Linked DNA regions of Rhinolophus ferrumequinum. The protein of the gene in region 1 binds, or shares a complex with, the protein of each later gene. Links are inferred from orthologs where the notes say so. Each region holds a gene or a part of one and is shown on either strand. Other genes may lie near its edges.

What was found. Proteins that work in one complex are often made in the same cells at the same time.
Region 2: NME5 (region 1) and DYDC1 share a complex: the UniProt entries of both Homo sapiens proteins name them as parts of the axonemal radial spoke complex. The link is inferred for Rhinolophus ferrumequinum from reciprocal best matches to the Homo sapiens genes NME5 and DYDC1.

The regions. Positions count from the first base shown.
Region 1 is NC_046307.1:13,295,144-13,303,295, reverse strand, and holds the start of NME5 (nucleoside diphosphate kinase homolog 5), read left to right. Parts: upstream 1-4,947; 5' UTR 4,948-5,004; intron 5,005-5,011; exon of another isoform or gene 5,012-5,451; intron 5,452-5,592; 5' UTR 5,593-5,636; coding exon 5,637-5,765; intron 5,766-8,132; coding exon 8,133-8,141; intron 8,142-8,152. Other genes in the region: bromodomain-containing protein 8-like, read left to right, coding at 1,208-1,297, 1,396-1,464, 3,484-3,661, 4,206-4,256. UniProt on the Homo sapiens protein: Functions as part of axonemal radial spoke complexes that play an important part in the motility of sperm and cilia. Does not seem to have nucleoside diphosphate kinase (NDPK) activity.
Region 2 is NC_046299.1:56,289,350-56,297,221, forward strand, and holds the start of DYDC1 (DPY30 domain-containing protein 1), read right to left. Parts: upstream 3,247-7,872; 5' UTR 2,864-3,246; intron 1-2,863. UniProt on the Homo sapiens protein: Functions as part of axonemal radial spoke complexes that play an important part in the motility of sperm and cilia. Plays a crucial role during acrosome biogenesis.

The sequences.
Region 1 (8,152 bases):
CTCTGCAGGTCCTTTCCACTCCCACACTTTTACTTGTAGTTGCTTGGCATGCATTTCCACGTGGGTGGAAATGAAGGTAAGCAAGGGATTCTTTCTTAAATGGAAACTTATTAAATATCTGTTGCGTGGATGTGTGAATTAAATTGCACCAGTACCAAGGAGTTATTGTTCATTCTGGTTGACTAATCAGAAATGAAGAGGTTTTGGGGGGCGCTTTAAGTTTCTTGTTCTGATAGGGTTCTGTGTTGAAGGAAAAGTTGATCTTTGTGGTATATAATTTAGATGCAGGTGAGATATTGCATGGTGAAAATGAATAGTTATGTGGAGCTGCTCAAATTGCAGAAAGATAAAATGATATGTGAGTTATGCTCAGATCGATATGCACAATATGGTACATAAAGCAAAATGAGGATGTGAAACCTTAGGTGTGAAGAGAACTCATTTAGAAAAAATAGTACAGTGGATAAAGTGGGAAGTGTAACCTCATGTTTAACTTTGAAGTAAATAGAAAACTTGCCAACTGGGAAAATTACAAAATGAAATAAAATATTGAACAATTGCATGTCTGAAGAAAAACGAACTAAATTCGACAGTTTAGCCCAGAGAAGGAAGTGCCATGAAGATAAATGACTTAGGTGTTTTAAAGATTACTATACAGAGGAGAACGAAAAGGAAAAATATTTAATTGTGTGGCATTCAGATGAAACGTAAGAGAATTCCTTGGAATCTGTAATCAAATATTTCCTTCTCTGGAAATATGGGTGAGAGAGATACTTATTAATGTGGCATATTTCTGCATAAAACAGGACCAGATTCATTTATCAAAAACTTAATTGAGCTTCTACTATGTGCCAGGCAGTTGGGAAACATCAGTGAACAAAGACTACTTTCATAGACCAGTTCTTTAGAGTCACAGGTGCTGAAGAGCAAAATCAGCAAGAGATCAAAAGGCCCAGGCAATTGTAGATTTGTAATACATTTTATAAAAGGTAACCACTTCATTGGGTTATAGTGATCAGTAAGAGAACACTTATAGAGTTTGGGGTCCCTTATGGAAGCATTAAATATCTTCATATTCTTACGGTATTACATTTCCTTCAGATGTTAATTAGGAGCAGTGTGTCTTGAGAAAGCCTCATGTCCACCTGGGGGAGGCAGAATGCCCTTTGCGAAGTTACTGTTTCTTTTCTGTCGTGTTATCCCATAGGTCTGATTTAAGCCAGAGCGATCCTGTTCAGGATCACTTGCTATTTAAGAAGACTGTCCTGTCAGTCTGGAAGATGATTGCCAGTCACAGGTAGGTCTCCAAGCCATTCTTCGTGTTCACAGCCACTCTTCTTATTCAGAGTGACTTTCCAGGGTTTCTTCTTACATTCTGGGTTTGTCCCCTAACAGGTTCAGTGGTCCATTTCTGAAGCCTGTGTCAGAAAGGCAGGCCCCAGGATACAAGGATGTGGTGAAAAGGTCAGTGGAAAAGGGGTCAAGAAAGGCTTCTTGCTTTTATATCTGTCTTTTTGTACTTTATTTCCCATATATTAGATTATTTCTTATTTCATTTACATTACTTACAAACTCAAGATGTATTTTACAGCTGAACAAGTTTGCAAAGTTATGGTGTGTTCAGTCTGCTTTTGAGAAGGAATGCAGGGAACACAAGGATAATGCAGGCTCTTTTTTTCCCAGTGTTGATTTTTAAGTAATGTGATCCATTATAATCTTAGCCTTTGGTAGTTTTTGACACTGTTTTTTGGAGCAAAACTTTAAAAGGAACGCTGTATTCATTCTGGTCGTTATAGGTACTCATATGCTAAGGCAAAGATGATAATCCAAATGATGTGACCAACATTGGTTGATTGCAGTATTTTTTATTTTTATAGCATATTTCATCTAAAATACTGTCACAAACCAGTGTGTTACTGTATAAAAGGTCAGGAAAAGACGTTTGGAGACAGACTTGTTCTATAGACGAGGAAACTAAAGCTCAGAGGTGATGATGACTTGTCTGTGATAACAGTGCCTAGCAGAGCTGGAACTGACCCCCAGATTCTTACCTCCCCATTCAGTTCTCTTTCTACACTGCTGTGCCTTCCCTTATATACCCACTGTCTGGGTCTCATTAATAATTTGTCTTGGAGTGGCTAGGTAGCTCAGTTAGTTAGAGCGTGGTGCTGGTTGCACCGAGGTTGCTGGTTCGATCCCTGCATGGGTCACTGTGAGTTGTGCCCTCCTTGAAAAAAAATAAAAGAAATTGCCTGCTACTTAGGAAAAAACTAAGGGCTGGCCCGGTGGCTCAGGCGGTTAGAGCTCCATGCTCCTAACGCCGAAGGCTGCCGGTTCGATTCCCACATGGGCCAGTGGGCTCTCAACCACAAGGTTGCCAGTTCAATTCCTCGATTCCCGCAAGGGATGGTGGGCAGCGCCCCCTGCAACTAAGATTGAACATGGCACCTTGAGCTGAGCTGCCTCCCGGATGGCTCAGTTGGAGCGCATCCTCTCAACCACAAGGTTGGCAGTTTGATTCCTCAACTTCCGCAAGGAATGGTGGTCAGCGCCCCCTGCAACTAAAATTGAACACAGCACCTTGAGCTGTGAGCTGCTGCTGAGCTCCCAGATGGCTCAGTTGGTTGGAGCTCTTCCTCTCAACCACAAAGTTGCCGGTTCGACTCCCCCAAGGGATGGTGGGCTGTGCCCCCTGCAACTAGAAACGGCAACTGGACCTGGGGCTGAGCTGCGCCCTCCACAACTAAGTCTGAAAGGACAACAACTTGAAGCTGAACGGCACCCTCCACAACTAAGATTGAAAGGACAACAACTGGATTTGGAAAAAAGTCCTGGAAGTACACACTGTTCCCCAATAAAGTCCTGTTCCCCTTCCCCAATAAAATCTTAAAAAAAAAAATTGTCTTAATATTTGCTTGATTCTCACTCTTCATCTCCATGAAAGGAGAAAAAACTTATTAGCTTTTGATTATGCAATAAGAGAAGTATGTTAATGCCTAGTATATGGCTATACATTGTAAACAGTTGTTAACTACCATATGACAAACTGATCGTTGGAGTTCTTTACAAATTTAGTACCTGGGGTCACCACTACTCCTGCAGTAGTAGAATGCAATGGCTGGGCCTGTGGATTTTGGAGTCAGGCTGCCTTTGAATTGGAATCCAAGCTGTGTGACCTTGAGCAAGTACTTACCCTCTTTAGATCTCGGTTCCCTCACTGCCAATTGGTGATAATAATGGTACCTGTTTTATGGGTTAATTGGGAGGTTTATGGGAGTTAATATAGAAAGTTACCTAACATAGTGCTTGGCCTATTGTAAGTAGTAGCAGTCCAATGATATTTTTTTAAAAAAGCTGTTGCTTTTTATATTAACTGTTGGGGATTGTTTTCATTAAGAGCTAGTTCTCCAAGACAGCATATTAGGTTACCACATGTTCTACATGAAGGTTTGATTTCCTCTGGTTTCTCTTGGCCACCTGTAGACCCATGGACTTAACGACCCTGAAAAGGAATCTGTCTAAGGGACGGATTCGCACCATGGCACAGTTCCAGCGGGACCTGATGCTGATGTTCCAAAATGCTGTGATGTACAATGACTCTGATCATCATGTGTACCATATGGCTGTGGAGATGCAGCGAGAAGTCTTGGAGCAGATTCAGGTACTGTATGTAGAGAGTTGCCTGAAAAAGGAGTGTAATCTCTGGAACCTGATTTAGAAAGTGAGAATAAGGGTGATGTTGAAGTGTTTCCAGATTTTATATTTAGAGGTGATTCAAGGCCCTGAAGGACTGACCTTGTACGTACTGGTTTGGAAAACCTGGAGCCTCAGTAGGACCAGCCTTAATAGTGAAGCAAAGTAGTCTAGGAAGGCAGGCAGCTGAAGAGCTCTGAAGAGGGCTGTAATGGTAATGGGAGCTCCTGCTTCCAGAGCCTCAAGCCAGAGTGCTAAACATGCAAACCAGAGGCTGGAGTCACTGTCCATTTTTTGGTTGCTACACCTGTTGATATTAATGTATGTTCACACTGTCCCATCGATACGGGGATAAGACACAGTAATCAGAAAACATCTGAAGGTTTCTTTTCTGGGTAGCATCATATTTTTAAGGAAAAAACGTAGTCAGATCTCATTGCAGAAAAATAAAATTGCATTCAAACCTCTGTAGCTTTTAAGCCTCATAGTTTGCTTCTGCCTTGACCCTATAGGTGCTGAGTACTTGGTTAGTCAAAAGAAGAGACTTAAATAGTCCAGAATGAGAATCAGCCAACCCAGTGCGTGATGGAAAACCTGTTTGGTTAACCTGGAGCTGCTACCCTGACCCTTTCTGAAATTTGGACCTCTCATTGAGACTCTGACCCAGAGAAGGTCCCAGCACTTGTCTATCATTTCCCTGTTGTCTTTTCTAATAATAAGGCCTTAACTCACAACCAAAGGTACCTGTGGACAAAATATAAGGGAAAAGGGGCAAGCTGTGATTTGGGGTTATACCATAAATGTTGCCCGTATCTTGTTCCATAGGCTTAATTTAGAGGTAACTAGTTTAAACCGCTTATTACTGCTCTATAAATAAATGTTATACCACAAGTTGAAGACTGCTTTTTAATGATTACAGAAGCTGGGAATAGAGGGGATAGCATCATCTGGTGAAATGAAGCTATTTGACGTGGGTTTTCTTACATTGTCTGGAAAGTGATGGGGTGGGGTGAGGAGGGGGTGATTATGATTTGTCTCATCGTTTATAAAATGGAGATAATTGAAGCAGCCTTAAAATGAGTAGGAGGGTGAAATAGGATGAATTATGAGGAAAATGTAAGAAAACGCCTAGTGCTCTAAGATTCTTAAGGGGGATAAAACTACCTGTGGCTGGCTCCCTTTCATGATTGAACCGGTAAGAGGCTGTGAAGTGACGCTGCTCGGATTGGCCCTCTGCAGCCACCGTCCCTCAGCTGGGCTTCGGGTCTCCTAGCAATAAGTTGTGGTCGCACCTGAGGAGTGAGTGCTGAGGTGAGTACACGACGGAAGGTCGGACTCGGAATCTGCGGGTGCAGCCGGGAGAAGTCCGGGGACTTAGGGATGCTACTTTCCAACCAGACCTGACCCTATGCATAGCCGTCCCGGCGAGGCGGGGCGGGGTGGGGCGAGGCTGCTCAACCTGCAGCTGGAGAATCGCGGAGAGTTGCCAACCGGTCTCCAGCTGCTGCCTTAGTCTGCGCGAGTCCCAGGCCTTTGGATTGCCCTGTGGCCTCTCCACCTTGATGAAAATGTTTAGGAAAGCCTAAGGCACGGCTTAACTGCAGAGTAGAAATCGTATTACAGTCATACCTCATTTTATTGCGCTTTAGGCGATTCACAGGTATTGGGTGTTTTACAAACTGAAGGCAAGACTCTCCACCATCAAATAGAGAACGACTCGCTTTACTGCGATCGAAGACAACCTGCAATGTCTTCGAGGTATGCCTGTGTTCAGACACTGCTTATAGAAAAAGATTGCAGTTTCTAAGTTTATATAAATTAATAAAATCAGGCGCCTAACAATGCTGTTCTTAATCATAATTACATTAAATTTGAGGTTGGGATTGCATATCATTGCAGTTGATACCTGTCAAGACTCTTAAATTATATCCTGAAAACCCACAATGGAGCTGTCGATGCCCCCACCTCAGATATACGTAGAAAAATCTCTGGCCATTATCAAACCAGATATTGTTGACAAAGAGGAGGAGATACAAGATATTATTCTCAGATCTGGATTCACCATTGTTCAGGTAACTTCTGGGCATGATCATTGTGTTCTTTTCTCTCATTGATCCTTTTTTTTAATGTTTATGTATTAGCATTAATTTAGCATTAAATTTAGGTTTATTCTAACTATAAAAGTTACATGTGATAGTATTTAAGTTTTGTCACACTTCAAAAGTATATAAAATGCAAAGTAAAATTCCTTTTCCCTCCACCTGTCCTCACCCACGCCACATCCCAGTCTCCAGAGAGAGGCAACGACTTAATACTTTCTGTTCTTCCAGGATTTTTCTATGTATTCCCAGACATTTTCCCCCATAAAATAGGACAGTGCCCCACCTTTGATCCTGTTTACAAAGTCCCTCAGATAGCAATTTCAGATTATTACATCTGAATGTAACTCATTCTTCCTAAGTTTTGTTTCATATACCCCTGTGTGGATGAATCACAATTTGTTTATTTGGTCCTCTATGGATGGACTTTAAGACTTTTGGATTTTTTTCCTTTATTACAAACATTTAATGTTTTAAGCCTTACACTTGCTCTGCAGTTGTTAGAGGTTTGAAAATGAATGTAAAAAGAATAAAGATTATCAAATAGAATTGAGTATATTTAATCTTCCTTTTTTGTACCATCCTTATTTGAAATTTCAGTTTTTAGTCTCTTATGTAATATTACTTATTTAATCAGTGTTTTAAAAAATAAAAAAGAGAAAACTTCAATCTTTAGGAAAGATGGGATTTTAGTTGAATTTAGGATAGGTGGAGGCTGAGGGTAAGGATGGTACAAGAAAATGTAAGGAAAGATGTACAGGAAATTATAAGAAAATATTTAATATAGTAATTAAAAGACCCAGGTAAAAATGAACTTTTTAATGAATGTTGTTAGGAAAACTAGGTAGCCATTAAAAAAAAAGTTGTATTCAAGTATGATACTGTATACACCGGGATAAACTTCAAATGGATTGGAATTTTAAATATTAAAAAATTAAACCATACAAATTCTAGAAGAAAAGATGGATGAGTTTCTTTACTCTTGGAATGGACAGCCATTTTTTATTATGACTTAGTCTAGGAAATATGAAAGAAAAGATTAATAAGATTATAAATTTAAAAAAGTTCTGCATGGCCAAATAAAAACTATAAGCAAAGTCAAAATACAAATGACAAACTTAGAAAAAAGATTTGCAATTCATATTGCAGACAGAGGGCTAATCTCCCTAATATATAAAGAACTCGAAAAAGATAAAAATTCAGTTGAAAATGGGCAGAACATACGGAGGATCAGAGAAAAAGAAAACAGATGCTTCTTGAAAATATGAAAAGATTCTCAATAAGTGGGGGAAAAAACAAATTAAAGTGACACTGAGCTACTACAGTATATGGCAAAAATGTAAAAGTGAATGGCACAACCCCCATAGAAGGGAACCTGACAATTATTTATCAATATTACAGATGTATTTATTTACCCTTAGACCCAGCAGTCCTACTTCTGGGAATTCCACCCATAATCTGTGTATTAATATCAAGTGACATATATACAGGTTACTTTTTGCAGCATTGTTTATTTACCAGCAAAAGATTGAAAACAGTCCAGTATTAGCAGAATGGTTAAATCAACTCTGGCAAAGACACCAAGTTGAATACTATGCAACTAACTGTAAAAAGAATAAGGAACCTTTTGGTGCCCTGTTATGGAAAAACAAATGTAATGTGTAGCAATCTTTTGTGATAGAAAGAAAAAAAGTAATATATATTCATGTTTGCTAATATTTGCAAAATGAAACACTAGGATAAATAAGCATTAAAAAATGGTTGCCTATTGAGAGCAAGAACAGTACATTAGGACAGGGAGGGGAATGAGATTTTTCAGCACATATCTTTTTATATTGCTTTGAACTTTTTAACCCTATAAGTGTATTATTCCTTAATTTTAGAAAAAAATTAAATGAAGTATATGAATAAGATAAAGATATACTATTTATGTTTTTTAAAAGTCCATATTTTAAAAAGAATTAGTGACAAACAAACTTAATTAAGTGGTAGTGTTAATCATAAATGAAAAATTAATATAAATGCTAATATTTTGCATTTTACCTAGTGAGCAATGAATTTCAGACCAAGAAGCCCTTGCTGTATTGTGTGCTTTTTTTTGGTTTTAATTGTGGCAAAATACATGCAGCTTAACCATTTGAACCATTTTTAGTTGTAGAGTTCAGTGGAACTAAGTACATTCCCATAGTTGTGAAACCATCACCACCATCCATTTCTAGAACTTTTACATCATCTCAGATTGAAACTCTGTACCCATTAAACACTATCTCTCTGTTTATCCCTCTTCCCAGCCCCTGGTAACCAGTATTCTTTCTATCACTATGATTTTGAGTATTCCAGATATCTCATGTAAGTGGAAA
Region 2 (7,872 bases), on another chromosome or scaffold:
CTTTGGAAAAACTGATCATCCTCAAATCACCCTTACGGAATCTAGACTCCTCTGGATATATATACTGAGTACAGTATATGCACAGTGAGTACCTAGCATGTCAGGTATGAGCAATTATAGGGGGTAGAATGTCAGTGTGAATCTAGACCTCTCCCTGGACAAACGCACCTAACATTCTGCTGAAAATTTTAAACACAATGACTAGAGGGTATTATGATAAGTTGAAAAAAGTCAGATAGAAAGACAAAAACCATATGGTTTTATTTATATGTGGAATCTACAAACAAAACAAAACGAAAACAGACTCATAAAGAGATCAAACTGATGGTTGCCAGAAGGGAGGGGAGTGGGGGGATGGGTGAAAAAGGTGAAAGGAAACATAGTCAATAATACTGTGATAACTTTGTACGGTGACAAATGAGTACTAGACTTAGTGTGGTGATCACATTATAAGGTATATAAATGTTGAGTCACTACATCATACACCTGAAATTATAATATCGTATCCCAACTATGCTTCAATTTTTAAAAAATGACCTCATGAGATTCACCTGTAGACCCCAATACTGCTCTCTCTCATGCTATGGTGGTGAAGAGTACAAAATGGTATAATCTCTATGGAGAGGAATTACACAATACCTAGAAAATGACATCAATTTTGACCCATCAGTCTCACTTCTAGGATCCCTTCTTGCAAAAATCTGAAGTAGCCATACTGAAATACCACCCAAATGTTCATCATGAAGGGATTGATGAGGTACAGCAACACAATGGATAACTGTGAAGATATAAAAGAGAATGAGGAAGATCTCTAAAAGTAAAGAGTGATCTCTAGGACATAGTATGAAGGGGGAAAAAAGCAAGGTGCAAAAACTGTATATAGTATGCCATCCTTTGTACTAGCAACAGCAGTGGGGAAAGGAATATGTATGTACGAAGTCGGACAATTAAGTTCACAAACTCATCCTAGAAAAAGTGCTCTCATTGCTGAATATCACTACGGTCACCTTCGAAGTACTCCCCTTGGAAAGCTATGCACTGACACTAGAGCCTAGATCACCCTTCAAAGCAATTTTGGAACTGTTTTTCTGGAATGGCCATCAGAGCTGTTGTCCTATTACCCTTGATGTCGTGAATGTCATCAAAATGTCTTCCTTTCAATATTTCCTTTATCTTTGGGTAAAGAAAGAAGTCACTGGGGGCCAGATCAGGTGAGTAGGGAGGGTGTTCCAATACAGTTATTTGTTTACTGGCTGAAAGCTCCCTCACAGACAGTTCCGTGTGAGGTGGTACATTGTCGTGATGCAAGTATTGTTGGAGAAAAGTTCAGGTCGTTTTCGTCTTTTTCATGCAGCCTTTTCAGCACTTCCAAATTGTAAACTTGGTTAACCGTTTGTCCAGTTGGTACAAATTCATAATGAATAATCCCTCCGATATCAAAAAAGGTTAGTTTAGCAACATCATTGCAACAAGTTCGAGAATTTAATTGCCCAACCTCGTATGTGTGTATAGATAAATGGAATCATAAAAACCAAAACTCTAAAAACTGGAAAAAACAAACCTGATTCCCTAACAAGCTGGAGTTGTTGTCTTAACCACACAGAGAAAAGAATTATTACAACTGTGGTTGGAACACAATATCTTCACTGTATTTCTTCAATGGGATATACTCTAACGACAAAAATACCTACATTGATATCTGTCAATGTAAGATAAAAAAGGCTATCTTATTGCTCCTGTTGCTCCTCCAGAAAGATAATGCATGGGAAGAGGACCGTGGTCCCTAAGAGGAAAACCTCTGGCCTGACGGTAGGGCCTCACCCAGGGTTCGTCTCAGATCTATGGACCCTGCATGGTATTATCAGGGGGACCCAGTAGAGGGCTCATTACCTCGGTTGGCATGTTTCCTGTCCATGAAATGGTGATAATACCCATCTCACGAAGGTGTTGTAAGCAATGTTTTTTTTTTTTTTTTCATTTAAGAAAGCCCCCCTTCCCACAGAAACAACTGCCTCAAGCATGGATAAGTTGTTACAAGAAACAGAGAGAGGTCCCTCACCCATGCCTGGGAGAAAGCCAGCCAGCGTAGTAGGGAAGTGGTGGCGATCCAGACAAGGCGGCCAAATTCAGCAAATAAAAATACAGTATGCCCAGTTAAATTTGAATTTCAGATAAACAACTAACGACTTTGTATTATACTATACTTATACTACAAACTTATGCCTTATTTCTCTGAAATGCAAATTTAACTGGGCGTCCCGTATTTTATGTGGCAATCCTCCATTCGGGGCGGGCGCTTGGGTTCCCTTTCCCACCCGCGGTCGGCCGACGGGTGCACGCCGCCCTGCACGCCGCCCTGCACGCCGCCCTGCTCGCCGCCCTGCACGCCGCCCTGCACGCCGCCCTGCTCGCCGCCCTGCACGCCGCCCTGCACGCCGCCCTGCTCGCCGCCCTGCACGCCGCCCTGCACGCCGCCCTGCTCGCCGCCCTGCACGCCGCCCTGCACGCCGCCCTCCACGCCGCCCTGCTCGCCGCCCTGCACGCCGCCCTCCACGCCGCCCTGCTCGCCGCCCTGCACGCCGCCCTCCACGCCGCCCTGCACGCCGCCCTGCACGCCGCCCTGCACGCCGCCCTGCACGCCGCCCTCCACGCCGCCCTGCTCGCCGCCCTCCACGCCGCCCTCCACGCCTCCCTGCTCGCCGCCCTGCACGCCGCCCTGCACGCCGCCCTGCTCGCCGCCCTGCTCGCCGCCCTGCACGCCGCCCTGCTCGCCGCCCTGCTCGCCGCCCTGCACGCCGCCCACCGCGGAGGAGGAGGGAGACCGCCCCAGACGCGCCTGCGGAGCCCCCGGCGCTGAACTAACCCTCGCTGGGCTCGGGGAGCCTGGGCACCGCCTGCGCCCTACACCACGCCAAGGTCCCACGGCCCAAACCGCCTGCGCAGCCAGACCCCAGCCAACCCCTAAGACCCGGTCTCCCAAAGGGCGCCTGCGCTGTCACACGCACGCCTGGCGCACGCGCCTACCCTCAACCGGCGAGTCGTGTCCCGTCGCTAGGCAGCGAGCGCGCTTGCCTGGGGTGGGAATGAGGCGCTCGGCAAAGACAAACGCGAGCACGGGCTGGTGACCTGAGAGTGGAGGGTCGGGACGTGGGGGACGCGCAGCAGAGAGGAGGGGGCTCGAGCGCGGGTGAGCTGAGGAGCGCGGGAGCGAGGGCGAGAACGCGCGGCGGATACGAGTGGGTGCCAGGATAGGTGAGTAGAGACTTGCAACTATGAGGCTATAAGGAGGGGCCTTGAAAACAGGAGTGGAGCGGGACAGGTGGGCGCGCGCTCCCTGGGAGAGATAAGCGGGCGGCGGGGTCGCGGAGAGGAGACGCAAAGGGCTCTGTCTGTGAATGGGGGGAGACCCCTCCACAACCCCCCGGGGCCAGCGGAGACAATCACTGCAAGTTCTGTGGCCCGGTATTTTCACGACTTCACACCTTTGCACTTGCTGGTAACTTCTGCTTGGTGGCTTTTAGAACCAGCTCAGGTGCCCTCACCTCCGGGAAGCCATCCAACCTCTGCCAGGTCAGAGCCATTGCAGTTTTCCCTGGCCTGGTCTTGTGCCCAATACTCTGCTAGTATATCCCGGGAGTGTTCTGTTTTAATTCACGTGCCGGGCAGGCAGTACTGGACGGGAGATGCCTCACTGAACGCTGGAAGTGCCAGAGTGGGCACTGACTGAAGGGACCATGAGCTTGTGTGGGGACAGAGCCAGGAGTGCAGTTTCCAGGCTCTCCGCGTCACGTGGAAAGGTGCTGGCTCAGCTAGCAAATGGCCATCAACTGCGATTGGATGGCCATCAGCTGTGGCTAGTTGGCCGTCAGCTGTAACCAGTGAGCCATTGGCCACTAATATAACTGCTGTGGCTACGCTAGCAGCAAATGGAGGCTAGCAAGAGGATGGTGGCTGAGCTAGTCAGAGTGGATTGCAGTTAGCACGGTGGAGTGCAGCTAGCAAGTGGGGTTGGTTGGTTGACAGAGAAGCGGACAGCAGGTTGCAGGTCGTGTGGATCCTGTTTCCTGTGTCTCCAACCCAGCCACCAGCGAGAATATAATGGTATGACTCCCCTATCTATGGCTCTGTGGGTGTTCCTTTTTGGCCTCACCATTTCCTGTGTTCTTATGTGGGGAGCAGGACCAGAGACTCCGCCTGACACCCTGCATGACAGCTTGTCTGGGTGGGCTCACAAGCATCAGAGCCCTGGCAGATGAAGAAGTATTTACTGAGCACACACTGTGTGCCTAGCACTGGGAATAGAGTGTGAACAAAGATACTCTCCATGCTTATTGCTCTGCCTACTGTGTGCAAGGCCATGGGCAAGGGGACCCTTCAGACCCTCTGAAGAGCTCTGGGAGACTCCAAAATATAGCCCCCTCCCGCTTGGTGAGTGTGCCCGGAGTTGGTCGGGAGTGGGCTGTAAAAGTCCCCTTTGCCCCCTCCCTCTCCAGGCCTTACATTGTGGCACTGTTATTGTGGCTCTGCTGTCTTTGCATCAAGTCTTAGTAACTGTCAGATCAACATATTTCATTGAGACCATTGTTGAAAATGTGCAATTTGGAGCAGATGCTTCCTCCAGAAAGGGTGACAGCCACCCAAGGACTGGAAGTAGAGAGGCTTCCTGGGAATGCAAAATTGATAATTCGACTCTCTGGGAAGGGCAGTTCTACAATGATAAAGGCAAAGTAGACTTGTGACTTCGAATCACCTGGGGATTTTGTTAAACTGTAGACTGAATCATTAGGCCTGGTATGGACCTTGAAAATCTGCATTTCAGCAAGCCCCCAGGTGATGCAAGCCCCCAGGGGATGTAGAAGGTAGTTTATCCAAGTGCATTGGTTCAGGTGGACCACAGATTAGCAGAAAGAGACAACATATACCCCTGTCTCCAACTTCACCACTATCCCTGTGGGAGAGGAGGAAACTTTCCTCTACGCTCAGGGTTTTTTCAGCTGGTCTAATAATCAATTAGAGATGAGACAGATGAAGAGATTTTCAGTAATTAGAAGTTTTCCCTGCCCTACCGATTGGTCAAAAAATGTTATCTCTGATAATCTCTTATTATGGGCAAGGCCCCTAATTCAAGTTCTAGGTAGTTAAGTGGGAAGGGCAGAAGTTTCTCTTGAGCCCACAGGTTGCCTTCAGCTCAAAACAATCTGCGTGCCATAGAGGCACATCTTGGGGTGACTCATTCTGAATCCCTATACCCCAAACTTAGTGACTTCAAGTACACGTTTATTCTTTTAAAGTTTTTGAAGTCAGAAATCTAAAATGAGTCTTACAGCGCTAAAACCAAGTATTGGCAGGGCTCGTTCCTTCTAGAAGCTCTAGAGGAGAATCCATTTCCTCGCCTTTTCCAGCTTCTAGAGGCTACCTACATTCCTTGGCTCATGGCTCCGAATCACATCACCTTTTCTCCCTCTGTTCTGTCATCACATCTCCTTCTCTGTCTGATCTTACTGTGTCCCTCTTATAAAGACCCTTGTCATTACATTGGGCCTGCCTGGATAATTCAGATAATCTCCCTAAATCAAAATTCTTAATTGAATCACATCTGCGAAGTCCTTCCATATAGGGTAACATACATTACAAGTTCCAGGTATTAGGACTTAGACACTTTTGTGAGCCATTTTTCATCCCTGTTATACTGTGTATTTCCTTAAATGAAGGACATTTTCTTACTCATATTTCAATTACCAAAACCAGGAAATTTGACTTTGATTTAATTCTATTATGTGGTCTACAATTCATGTTCAGTTTATCCAATTTTCCTAACACTGTCCATTATGGAATTTTCTTTTTTTTTCCTGGTCCAGATCCAATCAAGGATCATGTATTGCATGCCTATTTAGGCTCCTTTAATCTGGAATGGCTCCTCCTCTTGTCTTTCATGACCTTGGCATTTTTAAGAGTACAGGTCAGTTGTATACTGTCTCTCAATTTGACTTTATTTGATGTTTCCTCAATCAGATTCAAGTTTTGCATTGGGGGCAGGAATCCACAGAAGTGTATTATGTCCCACTAAGAAGTGTATCACATCAGGAGACACACTATGTCACTTTGCCCCTTATTGGGGATGTTTACTTTGATCCTCTGGTTAAAGTTGTGGTGACCAGGTTCTATCACTGTAAAGTTTCTGTATTTCCCTTGGAAAGTAATACATAATTTGTAGGGGAGAAACTTCGAGATTATATAAATATCCTATCCCTTGTCAAATGTTGTCTGAGTTTTAGTCTTCACAGATAATTCTGGCTTGATTCAGTTATACTATGGTGGTTACAGTATGGTGATTTTTTAAAAAAAAACTCCATTATTCTTTCCACATTTATTAGTTGGCATTCTACTTTAAGAAAGAACTTACTGTATATCACATTACGAAATTATTTATTCTTATGTGGATTCATGAATTCTTATTTTACTCCAAGGAGTCCTGATTTCTCTTTTAAGTGGTGACAGCTATTTAAGGAGAAGTTCTGAATGCTTAGTGTGCTTGCTGCTTACTGAGGTGTTTTTGCTTCTAGGACTTTGCGATGGGAAGAGCTAGGAAATATATATATTTTTCTATACTCATATCTATCTATCAATCATCTATCTATCTAGCTTTCCTTCTTTAAACTGAAAAATGCCTCCGGAAAATGTTGATTGTGTCGTGGCGTGTAATTAACCCCTGGGCATTCACAAAACGTGAAAGCATTCACAGACTCTACTACAAAGGAAGTTTTTATTGAAGTTAGGGCACAGAGAGAATGCCCATGGCAGTGTCCAAAAATGATTGCTGCCACAGGTTGTCAGAAGAGAAACACCAGCGTGGTGGCGGTGGAGGTGGGGTGTGTGTCATGGGGCAGAGTCTAGAATCTGAGAGTGGGCAGCTGCTCCTAACTTCAGGTTAGCTTTTTCTTATATAGGAAAGGGGAAGTCGGTTAGGCAGGTTCGAGGGCTGACATCCTTCCTGGGGTCTGGTCTGTTTGAAGACAATGTTATCTCCGGACTGGGACGCGGCCATCGAGGCCTGGGACTTGAATGCGTCACCAGTAAAAACTGCGAGGGAGTTGTCAATTGGATTCCGGTGTCCGGGCACCTGAGGATTAAGAAATTGCCCTTTCCAGGTTGGGATTCTGTTGATTAAATGGATTAAGGAGGTATGGGTAGCCTTGAGAAAGGGAACAATCAGAGTTCTTCAGCTAATCAGTGAGGGGAGAAACAAGGAGAAAACAGCTGAATATCAGGATGGATCAAACTGCAAACAAAGTAAGTGTAATTACAGGTGGCTGGATAGTGAGCTATGCGGTAAGTTAAACTGCAAACTAGCTAAGTTTAACTACATTATTGATTCCCTAAATTTCACCCTTACAGATTGGATCTGAGACTTAATTAGTCACTTTATCATTAGCTCTTTTGGAGGTAAGATATGTAAACTTCAGGAACATGGGGTTGGTGAGGAATAGGCCAGATTTTAGGGCATTTCATATCACAATATTCCACTGTAATAGCTAATATTTATTAAGCACTTACTATATGCCAGGCTAAGTGCTTTAGATGCATTTATTATTTCCTTTAATCCTCATAATTACGAGGCACATACTTTCGTTCTTCTGTTCTCCAGATGAGAAAACCAAGGCTCACAGGAGCTGGTGACTTGCTGAAGATCACACAGCTAATTAAATGGCAGAAGCAGGAACTTGGTCTGTCTGATCCCAGAGTCTGTATTCATACTGCTGCACTACACTGCCTCTCCTCACTGTGGTCTAACGCAGGCTACACTGCCTCCAGCTCTTGAAATCTGAATAATAGTGAATCAGCTCAACCTAAAGTAGTTCCTTGCTTAAGCAG